2 linked regions of the Neurospora crassa OR74A genome follow. The protein of the gene in region 2 purifies or fractionates together with the protein of the main gene of each other region. This does not show direct contact. Links are inferred from orthologs where the notes say so. Each region holds a gene or a part of one and is shown on either strand. Other genes may lie near its edges.

The links.
Region 1: the proteins of NCU11357 (region 2) and NCU06994 purify together in Schizosaccharomyces pombe (affinity purification with mass spectrometry; 6 studies listed by BioGRID, with this or other methods). This does not show direct contact. The link is inferred for Neurospora crassa OR74A from reciprocal best matches to the Schizosaccharomyces pombe genes prp19 and cdc5.

The regions. Positions count from the first base shown.
Region 1 is NC_026504.1:4,813,689-4,821,238, forward strand, and holds NCU06994 (pre-mRNA-splicing factor cef-1), read left to right. Parts: upstream 1-3,157; 5' UTR 3,158-3,320; coding exon 3,321-5,321; intron 5,322-5,388; coding exon 5,389-5,727; 3' UTR 5,728-5,979; downstream 5,980-7,550. Other genes in the region: NCU06993 (Ash2-trithorax family protein), read right to left, coding at 684-1,974, 2,052-2,506; NCU06995 (hypothetical protein), read right to left, coding at 6,440-6,493, 6,640-7,350. UniProt on the Schizosaccharomyces pombe protein: Involved in mRNA splicing and cell cycle control.
Region 2 is NC_026503.1:538,599-546,258, reverse strand, and holds NCU11357 (cell cycle control protein), read right to left. Parts: upstream 4,409-7,660; 5' UTR 4,281-4,408; coding exon 4,268-4,280; intron 4,212-4,267; coding exon 4,167-4,211; intron 4,036-4,166; coding exon 3,591-4,035; intron 3,530-3,590; coding exon 3,072-3,529; intron 3,015-3,071; coding exon 2,539-3,014; 3' UTR 2,249-2,538; downstream 1-2,248. Other genes in the region: NCU05697 (hypothetical protein), read right to left, coding at 1-805; NCU11356 (phenazine biosynthesis PhzC/PhzF protein), read right to left, coding at 4,665-5,681; NCU16616 (hypothetical protein), read right to left, coding at 6,647-6,946. UniProt on the Schizosaccharomyces pombe protein: Probable ubiquitin-protein ligase involved in pre-mRNA splicing. May also function in DNA repair.

The DNA of each region.
Region 1 (7,550 bases), on a different chromosome or scaffold from region 2:
TGAAGAAGTGAGGGAAGGACCGCTGGGCCCGTGGCGAGCGAGGTATCCGCAATGGGACGTGGTCCTCTTTGAATGGATTCCGCTACGCTGTCGAGAATGGAATGATAGAATATTATCGATGGGAAACCTTTTGATTTCGGTTGCGAGAATCCGACGATACACCCAGTCGGACTAAGATGTCATTTTACTGCTTATGTGTGTTTGTTGATCCGTCCAGGAATCTCACGAATACCGTTCTCGATGCTCGTTTATGCCCATCGGCCGTCACAAGACCGGCTGACACTCATCCCCAAGTAGTAGAGATTGCAACACCTTTTGGCAATTAACCAGTTCTCTACTATTTCTACCACTTGGGTATTTCTTTCAAAACTCCATCCGAGGCACACCTAACCATATGTAGCCTACCAGCCCTTGATGCATAGCCCTCACCACTCGCTGAAGATTGTAATCAGATATGCAAAAACAAATACAAAGCAAAAACAATTTTGCGAAGCCTCGACATAGTGAAACAGAACCGTGTTACGCTTCTGTCCCCAACCCAACTGAAAGCATTTCCAACCGGAACTGCAAACCTCTCTCGCCTCCATATCCATGAGTGACTGACTCCAGGTACGTCTCGTCTACTTGACAGCACGTGAACACCGCCATCGAAGTCCGTCCCACATGAGTCTGTCCCGGGATACCTAATCGTCCTGGACAAGCTCCTTGATTTCGTCCCGCCCACCAGGCAACAATTGCGCTCCGCCCCCACCCGTCGCCAGCAACTTCTCGGCGTCCTTCGCCGTGAGGTTGAAACGGTCAATCACCTTGCCACCGTCCTGGGCCCAGAAGCCAACTTCATCGATAATGTCGTAGACGATATCTTCGACTATTTGCTCCTCGTAGCGACCCGACACCGGCCGCAGGGGTTCTTGATTCGGCACACTTCCGTCGTCAAGCATGTCCACGTCGTCCTCATCGCCTACCCCGTTCTGCTGCTTCTGGGGAAGACCAGACCCAGGTGGTGGGAACCAGAAGTCTGGGCCAAAGTTCACCTCGACGGCGCCACCGCGGAAAACACTTACGGCTGGGTAGTATCCGACAGTTCCGTCGTCGAGAGCTTCTCTGCCGGCATGTGCCCCTGACTGAGTACTTTGTTTTGATGCGGGTGGTAGGAAGGCGAAGAGGTCAGTCCAAGGCGTGCCCATGTCCTTTCCATTTTTGTAAATCTTGATGTACGAGTTCGGCAGCGTCCGTAGCGACGGCAATGGGTGATTTGGGTTCGGCGGTTCCGGCGAGTTTGAGCTTGCCGATGCTACCGGCGCGGGACTGAACAAGTCTTCCAGCTCCTTGGTTGTGTGGTAGTCAATCTTCTCAAAGTAAATGTGTTGTTTGAACCGAATGGGGATCCGGTCCCGGATGATGTTGGGTGCCTCGAGCGATGGTTCGTCGTCTGCCAAGTCGACCGCAGGGTTATAATGCCCCGTTACAATCTTCCTGTGTAAATGTTCCGAAGGCAGCTGGATCTCCAGCCCGATCACATCTCCTTCTTTGATCTCCTCGCCAGGCGGGAAGAAGTCTTTCGGCCGTGACATGTGCACCTTTTGTCCAGCCACGTCTCGAATACCATAACTGTAGCAATCGAACCCGACGGGGGCGTCGAGAGAAGCCTCACGCCGCGCCCAGCCCACGCGAACGTGCCCATGCGCCTTGGTATCACCTTCGGAACCTGGCTCGCGCAGGGTGCCTCGAGTGACCTTGCACTCCCAATACCACCTGCCCTCTCGCACGGCCACGTTGGCTCGTGACATACGGAAGCCCTTGTCGGTGGTGACATGACGACCCTGTCGGTCAAAGTATACGTGGGAGGCAGAGTCCTCGAAGGCCATGTGGGCAGCGTACGGCTCGGTCTCGGTCTGGCGATAGTAGAACATGGAAGGAAACGTTGGGTCGGCTATACAGTGAGTGTAATGGAACGCTCGCTTGTTGAAGACACTGTAGGAAAAAGGCAAATCAGAATATGCTCCGCATGAATGGAGAATGGCGAAGGAGCAAATATAGATAAGACATACTGTTCGGTTGCATCAAAGAATTCGATGGTCTCGCCCTCGGGCCCTTGAACCTCATGATGGCTGGTGAAGACGGGACCGCGCGCGGGCTCGAAATCAGTAAGTTTGGGCGGAGCGAGCTTATAGCGCGCGGGGAGCAATTCGTTGATCAAGGGCTCTTTGTGTTGCTGCTTCGGGTCTGGAGTTGCTCTAGAACTATCGGAACCGCCTGCTGCTGCCTTGGCCTCCCTCTTCTTGAAGGAGTCCTTCTTTGTTCTCTTTTCGCGGTTTAGAACGGCTGCTTGCTGGGTGTCTTCGGGTGCCTGTATTTGGACTCTTGGAGCGGCCTTGTTATCTGGGTTTAGGGGTGATGGAACTGCTGGACTGTGGTCGTCTTCGAGCGTGCGCTTCTGAGGGATCGTCGTGGCAGCTCCGGAAGGTGTTTGCTCCCTTCGGGGAGAGCCTACGTCGCTGGCCATATGTAGCTCGGCAGACGTCGTGCTAGCAGTAACGTTGACAAATATTTAACTAAGTGATTAGTTTTGCTTTCGCAAGCTGTCCTTGTCCTGAAGTCGACTTGTGTTTGGACTCGAACGGCGAGCACTCCAAGTCCAAAGTAGGTACCGACGGGAGCTCTTCTGATCGACGACAGCTTATGGATGCTAAGAATAATCTGAGAATTGCCCGATGGTGATCCTACGGGTAAATGCTTTGGTACTCGGAGAAGACGCGTACTTTTGGAGAGCGCAATTGGGTTAAAGAGTCCAGTTTCGGAGCGATTTGATGTTCTTTCTGGGGATTTCTGTAAAGAGTTGAGAAATGTAAGAGGAAAGAAAGACATGTGAACCAGAAATGGTGGATGGAAGCTTCATCCACTCGACCAACAGCAGCAGCGTGTCGCGACAAAAGGGCGGGGCATCCTTCTGTTAGTGGTTAACGGCAGGCAGGGGTCCCGGAGCTTGGCTCGCTTGTTAGTTACCACATGCATGGGACACAAAAATGCTAACAGCGCGGGAACCTGTTGCCTGCCGCAAAAAGGTCTTGAGGTTGGCTAGCGCTTGACAGTTGATACTGGGAAAGACGCCAAGGCAGTTGCGTCGCGGGTGATTCCATTGTTCGCCTTGACGCCAGCGCTTTGAATTTCTGGATTTCTTCCCCATCAACACAACAACATTTCAACACTTTCAATTCCAATTCCAAGACAACCCCAACCCCGAGTGTCCTCCCACCTACCGGAACGACTCCCGCATCACTACAACGCCCGACGAGTATCCATAACGGCCGAGCGACAAGATGCCCGTCGTCAAGGGAGGTGTGTGGACCAACATCGAGGATGAAATCCTCAAGGCGTCGGTCAGCAAGTACGGCCTGAACCAGTGGGCCCGCGTCTCGTCGCTGCTGGCCCGCAAGACGCCCAAGCAGTGCAAGGCAAGATGGAACGAATGGCTGGATCCCAGCATCAAGAAGATCGAATGGAGCAAGGAGGAGGATGAGAAGCTGCTGCACCTCGCCAAGCTGATGCCGACCCAATGGCGTACCATTGCCCCCATCGTTGGAAGAACCGCAAACCAGTGCCTGGAAAGATACCAAAGACTTCTCGACGAAGCTGAGCAGAGGGAGGCGTCCGCTCTTGGGCTGACGGGCCCTGATGGAGGCGAAGCTCACGCGCCCAGCGCCGACGATGTTCGCAAACTACGTCCTGGCGAGGTCGACCCCGATCCGGAGACGAAACCCGCCCGTCCCGACACCATCGATCTCGATGAAGATGAGAAAGAAATGTTGAGCGAGGCTCGCGCGCGTCTGGCCAACACACAGGGTAAAAAGGCCAAGCGAAAGGCCCGTGAGCGACAGCAGGAGGAGTCACGCCGACTGGCCGCTCTCCAGAAGCGTCGCGAGTTGAAGACAGCCGGTATCAACATCAAGGTTACGACAAAGAAGCAGGGCCAGATGGACTACAATGCCGATATTCCATTCGAAAAGAAGCCTGTTCCCGGATTCTATGACACCACCGAGGAGATGTCTCGCAACGAGTACCAGCGCGCCCATTTCGACCCCAAGAAGCAGCAGGTTGGGAACAAGCGCAAGGGTGAAGAGGACGAGAGAGACGGCAAGAGGAGAAAGGGCGACAAGGACCCATCTGTGCAAGCCGCCCTCAAGGCCGGTCAACTGCAGAAGATGCGCGAGGCAGAACAGAGCAGCAAGCGGAGGGCTTTGGTCCTGCCAGCACCTCAGGTCGGCGAAGGCGAGTTGGAGGAAATTGTGAAGATGGGCATGATTGGCGAACGGGCAAATATGCTGGCTCGCGAAAGCGACAACGACGCAACTCGTGGCCTGATCAACAACTACTCGACACTCAACACCAATGCGCCAATCCGAACACCGATGGCCCCCGCTCAGGAAGACCACATCGCAAACGAGATCCGCAACATCCGAGCACTAACAGAGACGCAATCCTCGCTGCTCGGTGGAGAGAACACACCTCTACACCAGGGGGTGGGCTCTACCGGCTTCGAGTCGGTTGCGCCGCGGAAGCAGGTCATGTCAACCCCTAACCCCTTAGCCACCCCTTTGCGGGCAGCTGGAGCTGGTCCTGGCGCCACGCCCCTCCGCGTCGGCCAAACACCACTGCGCACTCCCCGTGATACATTTGCTCTCAATGATGCCGGTGACGAAATGTCCATGGTGGGCGGCACACCCCGAGATGTTAAGATGCGCGAGATGTCTATTCGGCACCAGCTCAAGCAAGGCCTCGCGTCTCTTCCCAAGCCCAAAGAGACCGAGTGGGAGCTCGAGCTGCCGGACGATCAGCAAGAGCCCAAGACCGCTGAGCAGCTGGAGGAGGATGCTGCTGAACGTGATCGACGAGAAAGGGAGATCAGGGAGGCGCGAGAGCTGTTGGAGCGCAAGAGACGTACCCAGGTCATGCAGCGGGATCTGCCTCGGCCTGTCCAAGTCGATTATCAGTCACTCTTGAAGGAAGCCTCGCAGGCCGAGGACCCTGTCAAGGTTCTCATCGCTCGTGAAGCGGCCTTGCTCGTAGCTCATGATGCCACCAAGTATCCTCTACCGGGAGCTCAGCCAACTGGCCGGGCACTGGAGATCCAGAAAATCGACGACGCCGCGTTGCAAGAGGCCAAGCTTCAGGTTCTGATGGAAATCAAGGATAAACCAAAGCCGGAAGAAGTTCAAGCGGTGTGGGAAAAGAGCAACAGCAGCTCCCTTTTGCTTGGGCTGGGATGCTATGAGGACGATGAAGAAGAAGAGCAGATTTCCACTATGCAAATTGCGCTTGAGGTATGTACAACTAACCCCTTTTCTGCCTCCTGCCTTCCGAAGGCTTACTGGCTAACCTAACCTGCAGGAGGTCATTGACCAAATCGTCGCCTCGGCAGAGAAGGGCAACAAGCTCGAGAAGAAGCTCAACCTGCATCTTGGCGGTTACAAGAATCGGGCTGAAATGCTGCGGAAGAAGATCAGTGAGGCTCACGAGGCGTTGGAGAAGGCGAACAACGCTCTGGGCGCTTTCAAGGTCCTCCAGTCCTCGGAGCAGGCCGCTATTCGGAACCGGCTGGCGGCGCTGCGTGAGGAGGTGGGCTTTGTGAGCACGAGGGAGAGAGAGGCGCAGGAGTTATACAGGAGGACGAGGGAAGAGCTGGATGCTTTGACGCTCAACGGGCCGAAGGCCAATGGGTTCCGCTGAATGATGTGTTGGAAGAGTGTGGTCAGGTTGTGAATAATTGAGTGTTGGTTAAACTCTGGCATGGCATGGTATGTCTGGCAACTGTCTGTGGAATGGCCACTGACGTCGAGCAGCTCAAAATAAGAAGCATTGAACATTATTATGTACTTGGAGGACGTCTCTCGATGCACCGTGTGAATATGTATAGTACGATGACCAACCTCCCTCTCAATATCAGTGAATTCTTCTCCTACGAGATTCTCACAACCCAGGGGCTTGGTAAGCGGGAGCCAAGGTGAACGCCAAATGCGAGTCATATCATATACACTGCAAAAAGCTTACCGGGGAGCGACGAAGCTTGTCTTCACTGGCAATCAGTCTGTACCGAGCTGTTCATTCAATCTCTCCTATCTCTCTCTCTGCTCTGTGTCTTTTTCTTCCCTCCCTCTTCTGGGAATGCATCCCTCCCTCTCCCTCTCTCTACCCTACACAAAACCAGACCAAAACAAAACAAAACAAAACAAAACAAAGACGCTCGCAGTAAATTTCCCCCAAAGCTAAGCCAAAATATGAAAAAAATTTTGCCATCCATCCCTCCAACGCCTTGCCTATATCTATCCCCTCTCTATCCTCTATTCTATCCTCTATCCCGTCCGCCCGTCTACCCTCATGAGCTTCGTTTTGCCAATCGGTCGTCGTCATCCTCTTCACTCTTCACTCTTCCTGAGTCCCCTCACTTGACGCAGGCGGAGGAGGTCTCATCGTAACCACCACCACCAGCAAAACACTAGCCACCACCATCCCAGCCAAAAAACAAGCAAAAATCAAGCGGCGTAAGAAAAGGCTGCGCGAGCGATGATGATGATGATGATGGGGTGAAGAAGTGGTCCGAGATGATGGGTGGTGGTGACCTGCGTCTGCTGAGGAATAAACCAACACGTCGTCGGCTGCTATAAGGGGAGTAGTCTCATCAGGCTTGGGCATGATGAACTGGTGCTGGGAGAAGAGATCCACGGCAGCGGCGGAGGTGGCGGCGGCGACGGCGTCTTGATCTTGTTCATGTTGCCGTTGTGGTTGTCCTTCATGCCGGCTACCACTAATGGTTGACGCATCATCGTCCTCGTCATCCTCCTCGTCATCGCTATCATCGGTTGACGTGGTATAAGACCCCGTAGTTGTAGATTCTTTCCGTCTTCGCCATGGTTGGGGAAGCGAGACGCTGTTCCGGACACCCTGAAACCGTGCAATCTGGCTGTAGTAGGATGAGTCAGGCGCTATGGACGAAGATGGGCCGAAAGATGGAAAGGGGCGGGTGTCGAGTGCTCCTGAGCGGACTGATGAGGCTTCGGCGTCGTCGTCTGTGAGCCATGAGGATGATGGTGGAGCTGGTGGTGCTGCTGCTGTAGGACTGTACATGCTGCCGGATTCGACGTCGCTGATTCGTCGGTCCCATCGACCTCGAGTTCGAGGACTGACGATGGACGAAGCCATAGATTCCGTCGTGGTGTTGCCGATGCTAACGCTGAGGAATGAACGTCCTGTTAAGGGGGTTTCTATACCACCGAGGCCACCACCGTAGAACTGGTTCCGTGATTGTCCGGTGTTTGCGAGAATGGCGGTAGCAATAGAATTTGGGGAGCTCATTGTGTGTATTTATTTTTGTTTTTGTTTTTTTTTCCTTTCATCGAGGTCCCCTTGTTTGAAGTGCCATATGAAAAAGGCCGTGTGTCGACGAATGGGAGAGCACCGTCGGAGATGAGAAATCGGGATAAAATGAAGTGAGAAGGAAGGAAGACGTTGTTGGGCTGAAATCCAAGCTGACAGTCAGTAGTCACATCGAAAAT
Region 2 (7,660 bases):
GGTCAAGCAGAGCCGGCACGCGATATGGGTGGTGACGATTTTGTTCGTGGCGGTTTTCCTCTCCTGCAATCGATGCAAACCGCCGACGCGCCTCAGCCAGTCCTTGCACAAATAGCTGGCGGCGTTGTTCTAATTCGTCAAGACGCGCCTCGATACGTGCGCTGGCTTCGAAGATATCAAACTGTTCGCGGAGACGGCGGTCGACAGAGGAATCAGAATCGTCGCTTTCGTCGCTAGAGGTGTCGTCGTTGTCGTCCTCGTTTTCGCTGTCTTGTTCTGTGTCTGAGGAAGGGAAGCCGCTGCTGTCAAGTTCGAGGCTGTTGTCGCTGTTGTCGGAGTAGTCGTGAAAGCCGGGAATGTCAAGGTCGAAGTCGTGGTCAAAATCGTAGGGAAGGTCGAGGTCGATGTCAAATCCAGGGTCGGCGTCGACCAGGCTAGATTCGCTAGATGACGGAGACTGTGGGGAATGTGGGCTCCGTCGATGGCGGGGCGACAGCGAACCGCCGCCAACGTTGTAGTGATTCTCCTCCTCTTCTTCTGCTCCTTCTTCGTCGTCAAGGTCTAGATCAATGTTGTTGTTGTTGTTGTCGTCCAAGTTGTAATCCCAGTCCAATTCAGAAACTTCGCCGTGATCGTCTTCGCTGTTGTCGAGACTCAGGTCAATGTCAATGTCACTGCTGTCGTTGTCGATGGCCAGATGGTCTTCGTAATGGTCCTCGAATTGCCCTTCGCCCTCAGCGACTAATTGCTCGACCTGGTACAAAAATCCGCCCTCGTCATCAAACCAGTCGTCCGCCGCGTCCATAATGACGGGAGGGAAATGGAGGGGGGCGGAAGGAGGTTGATTCCACTGCAAAGTCGCGGTGCCAGTGTCGGTGTTCGGTGGGTGAAATTGCTTGTTCACTGATAGTCGCCTCCGCGCATTTCCCCAACTCGATTGGAAGACTGTGGAGAGCAGCACTGCACAGACTGACCTCGCTCGAGCTTCCGGGCCAACACCAGTGTGGTCCCCCTTGCCGCTGGTGATGAACGACCGGGATGAAGCCGAACCGCCCAGCTGATTCAACAAGTGCACGTATTGAAGTGAATCTGGTTTGGGAACAGATCTCAACGCCCAATTCGTCCCTAGGTATGCTGGACGGTGATCAGGCACAACAAGGTCAGGGTTGAAGGAGAGCTAGCTGAATGTCTGCAGCCTCGAGGGGTGGTGGCAAACGCAGCTTGGTCAGCTTGGTCAGCAAATGAGCGAATAGCGTGTTGTGGTTTCAAGCGGTTTTTTTTTTTTTTTTTTTTTTTTTTTTGGGTGAGCGGATAGAAATTAAAAGATGAGAGCCAACCATCACCGTGATAGACGAAGAGACTCGGTCAACAAAGGAAGGAACTGAGGCTTTGATATTTTGAGACACTGGAGGGAAAAAGAAAGAAAAAAAAAAGTTACCACCAAGACTTCCTGCCAAACTTCTCATAAGAATGGTTGAGGGAAGTTGACAAAAAGCTATCTAATGCCTGGAAAACCTGCCCCTGGATAACAGGCAGGGTGCTGGCAGATCTGTAACACTCGAGTCTGAGCCTGTGCTTCGGAATGCCGTGTAGGCAAGATAGGTAGGTACCTTAGTGTTGGGCAGTACGGTAGAGCCTTCACTAACTAAGCAGACATATGTGTACAGAAGTAGAGGTATGCGGCTTCCTGTGCTTGCACGGCTGTCGGGCGCTCAAAGGGGGAAGGCCTTTTCTTTTTACAAACTAACCGAGTTTCTACGGTACCTAGGTAACCGGCACGGGGGAAGTCGTTCGTTGTGCTTGTTTTCTAAAACTGAAGCACAAGGTCATTCATCAACACCTCGGTTGGTGTCTTTCACAAGTTCCTATGGTGACTTGACGTTGACCATGCTTAATGTGCCTCTGTTAGTACCTTAGCAGTACTGCGGGCAAGAAGAGCCTGTTACAACGCTGCATCCTTAACAGTCAGACATAGGGGTCCAATTGTACACTACCTTACCTGCATCCCGATTCGGGCATTCAGGAACAAACAGCTGTCAGCCTATCAGGTTGCACTATCCCCTGTTCTCGTCGTGAGCTCTTTCAGGGTCTGATGATGGACCGTGATATGGAAGCTGTTGGAACGCAGGCACTGCCAAAGTTGAGATCACGAAATACGGAGGTGAAGCCATACAACAGTATCACCGCAGAATTTCCCCGTTTTGCTTCGGTATCATCAGAAGTGAAGACTTCAAGACAGATATGCTCTTTAAAACAACATGCTCCCGCCGCTCAAGTCTACACTAGACCTGTTCATCAAATATCTTTTTCACGCTCGAGTCCAGATAAACCAATGAATTACTTTATAAGCTCTTTATGTTTTGCGTCATACTGGGCAGACCGGTATTGAGCCCTCTCATCAGGAGCTAACGCCTACCAATAAACCCCGATCTCCCCTTTCGCTCCTCTAGCCCATCACTTTAATCTTCTTTGGTCTTCCAAAGCCAACCCCACCTAGACCGTCTCCGAGTCCGACTTTTCGTATTTTCCAATGCGATCCTACTCGCTCTTCGGCTCCAACACCGAAACTACGCCCTCTTTGCTGACAGCCACCAACTGCCTCGCCTTGTCTCCCCACTGCACCGCCACAGCCGGCGTGCTTGTCCTCAACGGCTCCGTCCACGACTTGCTAGCCTTGACATACTGCTGCACCGTAACGCCCTGCGATCCGGCAGTGGCGAGGTACTGACCCGTGTAATCCCAGGCAAGGCCGGAGACGTCACCGGTTTGGAGCTCCTTGGCCCGCGCGGCGTCGCCTTCCTTGCGCAGGTCGAAGATGGTGACAGAGGACTGGCCGACGCCCGTAGCGGCGAACCAGAAGCCGTTTTCGGAGAAGACGAGGGTCTTGACGGGGGCGCCGAGGGTGAAGTTGGCCATGCGCTGGAGAGTCTTGGTGTCGAAGATCTCGATCTGGCCGGATTGCGTGCCGGCGGCGAAGAGGTGGCCGTCGGGGTGGAAGGCGCAGGATGTGAGTTCTGTTTGTTCATATTAGTAACTTGAGACTGTGAGGCGGGTGGTGAAAGGGTACATACCAGCGTCAGTATAGACACGCGCTACACGCTGCAGCGACTGCAAATCGTAAAAGATGATGCCCTTATCCACGCCCACAGAAGCAAGAATCTGCTCGCCAGGGTGCACCGCCAAGCCCGTCACGGCACCGGCGTGCTCCGTAACAGAACCAGTCTCGACACCGCCCTCAACAGCCTTGACACTGCCCTTCGAAGTGGCCGAGACGACCTTGTTGCCGATCCACACCGTAGCAGTCACCGGCTCGCCAACCTCCAAAGAGCGTTCGTGTGCCTTGGCCTCAACCGAGTAGAGATCCACCTTGCCGTCCAATCCACCAACCGCCGCATAACCACCGTTGAGAGCGAGCGAGGTCGCTTGTGTGACGGGGAGATCTGTGTAGGCGGTTTGTTGCAGAGCGGAAATGTCTTCTGTGGTGGCCCAGCCTTCGGGGACTGGTCGCTTCTTGCGGCCCTTTTGCTTTCTGTAGATCGGTGAATTGTCAGCATTCAACTTTTCGAGATGACGGAGCGCGGTAAACGTACTCGGCCTGAACCTCATCAACATGTGCAGCCAACGCCTCGGGCAGACCCTCGCTGTCTACCGCCATAGCGTCACCAGTTGCGGCACCGCCAGCAGAAGCCGTAACTGTGAGTCTGGAAAGGGCCTCGCGGGCCTCATCACGCTCCTTGGTCAAGCGAGCAATCACGCGAACGGCGGCATCGTTCTGGTAGAGCGCCGTGGCCAATTCCTCCCTTGTCCTCGCCAGTTGTTGCCTCGTGTTGTATGACTCTAGTACCAGGGCGTCCCACTCGTCTTGGAAGGCCTTGAGCATGGATGGGAGGGATGTGAATTGCGGGGGGCGGGGGCGGACGATCCGATTTGTCTTGATGGGGAGGAGGTCTTCGACGTCTAGCTCTTCATCGGTGCCGGGTTCTTTGTGGTTCTCTTGGATGTACTTTTCGATCAATCGCTTCTCGAAGACGGCGCCTGGGATGTGTTAGTATGGCATCGCATTTCGGCCTGTCGTGGAAGCATCTGGTGTGGCTTGGTGGGAACAGAAGCGGTGGGAATGGTGGGATCTCGGTGATGGTGACAACAATGACGAAGAGTGCGCGTACCGGTCTTTCTCGAGACAACAGGCTCCTCGGGAACCTCTCCGGATACTGCGTCAATCGGTTAGCACAGCGTCGCGCAACGGTAGATTAGAGCTGTGACATACGGGCGCAAAGCATCTTGATAATATGACTGCAATGCAAAATCTGTAAAATGGGTTGTTTGGTTCAAGTCGCGATGTCAATGTCGTCCTCCAACTTTTTTGTTGCAACGCGCCACGGCCAGCCAGCTAGCACAGACAGCAGGCAGGCGACGGCCTGGAGCTGGACGACGCTAGAGGTACTTGGAGGTTTGGCGGCAGGCAGAGAACCATCTGCCAAGCTTGAGCCACACCGAGCCGCATACTACGGTAAGTGACCAATCATGTTGCATAAATGACTATGGACGTTTGGGAGGTACTTTGGCAATGTATCTTTTACTCGTCATTTTCGACTCAACACCATGCCACTTCTCACAACATCTACAATGTAGACAGCATCACATTCAACTCAATAGCAAATCCACTACACATAGATACTTCCCTTCGTAACCACCACCGCCGTCCCTCCCAGATACAAATCCTTCACCTTCGCCTCCCCATTCTCCCCCTCCACCGCCGTCGTCTCCACCTCAATCTCACTCTGCCTCCCCATCTCCACGCCCTGCGTCAACTCAAACCTCGCCCCTCCCATCTCCCTCCCACTAACCGTCAAATAGCTCGCCAGCGTACACGCCGCACTACCCGTCGCCGGATCTTCAAATCCCAACTCCACCATCCTCGTCCTAAACTTGAACTCCTTCCTCCCATTTTCACTCTCTTTCTCCCTCTCCATCGGCACATAATAATACCTGGACACAAACCCGCGCTCCCACTCCCCCTTATCCAACAACCCCTCCACCTTACTAAAATCCAGCCTTTTCGCCGTCGACACCTTCGCCAAATGTTCCAAACTCGGCAGTTTTACCAACAAAAACGTCATTCCCCGCACGATACTAACTACCGGGCCATTTAACTCCGCTTGTCTTATCTCTGGGTCCTCGGACAGCGCAGCCTCAATCATCTCCCTTGTCTCCTTCTTCACCTCCCCTCCCTTTCCATCCAGAATCCCGCCCAACGTCTGCTTATGAATACGCACAGCATGCGGAATCGTAGCCTTCACCCTTCCTTCGGACGTCGGTCTGATCGTAATCGGTCCGGCCTTGGTAACAAGCGTGTCCACATGCTTCCACCCCAAATGGTTTAGCACGAGGTACGCCGTTCCGACAGTGGGATGTCCGGCAAAGGGAAGTTCTTCCTCGATGGTGAAGATGTCGATTTCCCGACTGGTGGAAGTCAAGCCATCGCGCGCTTCGTCGTCGAGCGTGTGCAGAAAGACGGTCTCGGAGAAGTTGAATTCGCGGGCGATGAGCTGTTTGACGTCTTGGGTGAGATGAGAACGAAAAGAGGCGGGGGTGAGGACTACGGCTAGGGGGTTGCCTAGGTAGCGGGTGGAGGTGAAGACGTCGACGGTTAGGTAGGTGAGGGTGATGGGCTGGGCCATCTTGGATGTTTTGGTGCGGGAGGTGCCGCTGTCTCCGGATGAGATGGTGAGAGAGTGAGTGAGGTGGGACTGATGGCTCGTATCTTTGATAGCAATATCGATTTTTGGATCTTTTGTTGCGGTGTCGAGGTTTTATACCTTGATGAGAGTTGGAGGAGTCATGGTTCGATGAATCACAGCTGAAAAGTGGGGTAGCTCCAATTGCTACCTTGGTGAGGTTCGTCTTAAGTGGTCGCGTCCTTAGTTCAATAGTACAGTCATTGACTTACTAGCCCTCAATGGCAGCCCCGGACATCGGCCAGCTTACGTGATGACATTGCCCGCAATGCTTGATGCCTTTTTCTTTTCTCTTTCCTTCTCTGTTCTTTTCCCACATCCTCCCCTTGTTTCGATCTTCGTGTTTCCAGTCTCCAATGGCTACCCTAGTGTGCCCGACAGCAGGACACCATTTGTCCAGGCCTAATTCTTTTCTTTCTTTTCGCTTTGAGAAACCACCTCCTTTCTTTGAGTTATGAGGGTGAACTCTCCCAGTTATCATCACAGCCACAACTGGCCATCATTTTGGTGTCCCAAGTTTCGTGATCACAGCTTAGAAAGTGGCGTCTCTTTCATGGCACATGTCGATGTCACCAAGAAATGTGCATCTTTCAACGTTAAGAAGATTCCCCAAACTATTATGAAAAGTACCCATTCCGCATCCAAACTGGGAGATTATTACCAACTGAATCCAGCCAAATTTTCTCGCTCGCCCTTCTCAACGATTGAGACAGTCTGTAAAGTCCTGCTTGCCTGCCCGACGCACTCGTCCTTCTAGAAATATACTACTCAGCCCTGGTTTGTTCGTTTGTATGTTACAGGAAAGCCAAAGCGGGCTTCACTGGATGCAGATAGGACTTTGGCTTTCTATTGGGTATTTTAGTTGCAAAGTGGAAGGTGCAATGGTGTCTTAGGTATTGGCGGGGTATTTAGTTGGCTTTCCGGGCCTTGGGCTTACTAGTTTTCCTCTTCCTTTTCAAATCAACCACCCTCTTCACCTCTACCGAACCCTGACTTGAGCACCACGAGTGGTTGCATTGGCGATCCCACCCAGGGGGGGAGGAGGTGTCCGTTGTGTTTGGTGAACGAATGCGTGACTCGCTGTCGATCTCGGTCTCGGTCTCGGTCGGGCGGTTGAGCTTGCTGAGGGCGTGTGCCAGACGGTCGACGTTGCTGCTCATCAGAAGGGTCTTGAACTCGTGCGTGAATAAGGTTGTGTGTGCATCCATCTTGTAGATCAGTTGTCCGGTCGCCGTCTTAACCGCTTTGATGGGTTCTGCACGAATGGGCCCTTGGTATACCACGTTTTCTTGCCCATCCAACTGCACGCGATCTGGACAATTGTAGCATTCATTGGTTGTTGCGACAAACTCCACCGTGCCCAACAGATCCTCTCTGGTGGACTGTCACGCTCCCGCCTTGTCTAACCACGTAAAAGCCTAGAGGTATCTTCTAGTGCTGAAGGCCTGAAGAAGACGCAGAAAGGTATTAGAGAATACCCATTAGAGGCTTCTGTAGCATCACAAATCTCTTGCCATTATCCCATTTCGCTTCAGGCGGAGGACACTTTCTCTCCCTTGCACTCGTCGCTGCCAACAACGAACAGACTACCTAGCTTCGATTTCTTCAACGCAACTCCCAACGAAGTCCACCGCAAATACCTATCTCACTGCGATATAGCACTGCGACCGAATGAGCGCACGGCCCGCCGAACGCGGTCCAATTTCCCTTGTTTGAAAAGGAACCCCAAAGGCTAAGACGGGGGTGCCGCCTGTTGTGCGGACGGCCATACTCATGCGGCGGCAGAAGCGGGACAGAAAGGGCAAGTTTGCAATAACGGTGGAGGTGGAGTCAGAAGTCAACTGGTGGCAGGACATCAAGGAGAAGGTGCGCAAAGCGATAGGTGCCAGGTACCGCAACGATCCGGTCAACTTTGATCCGGC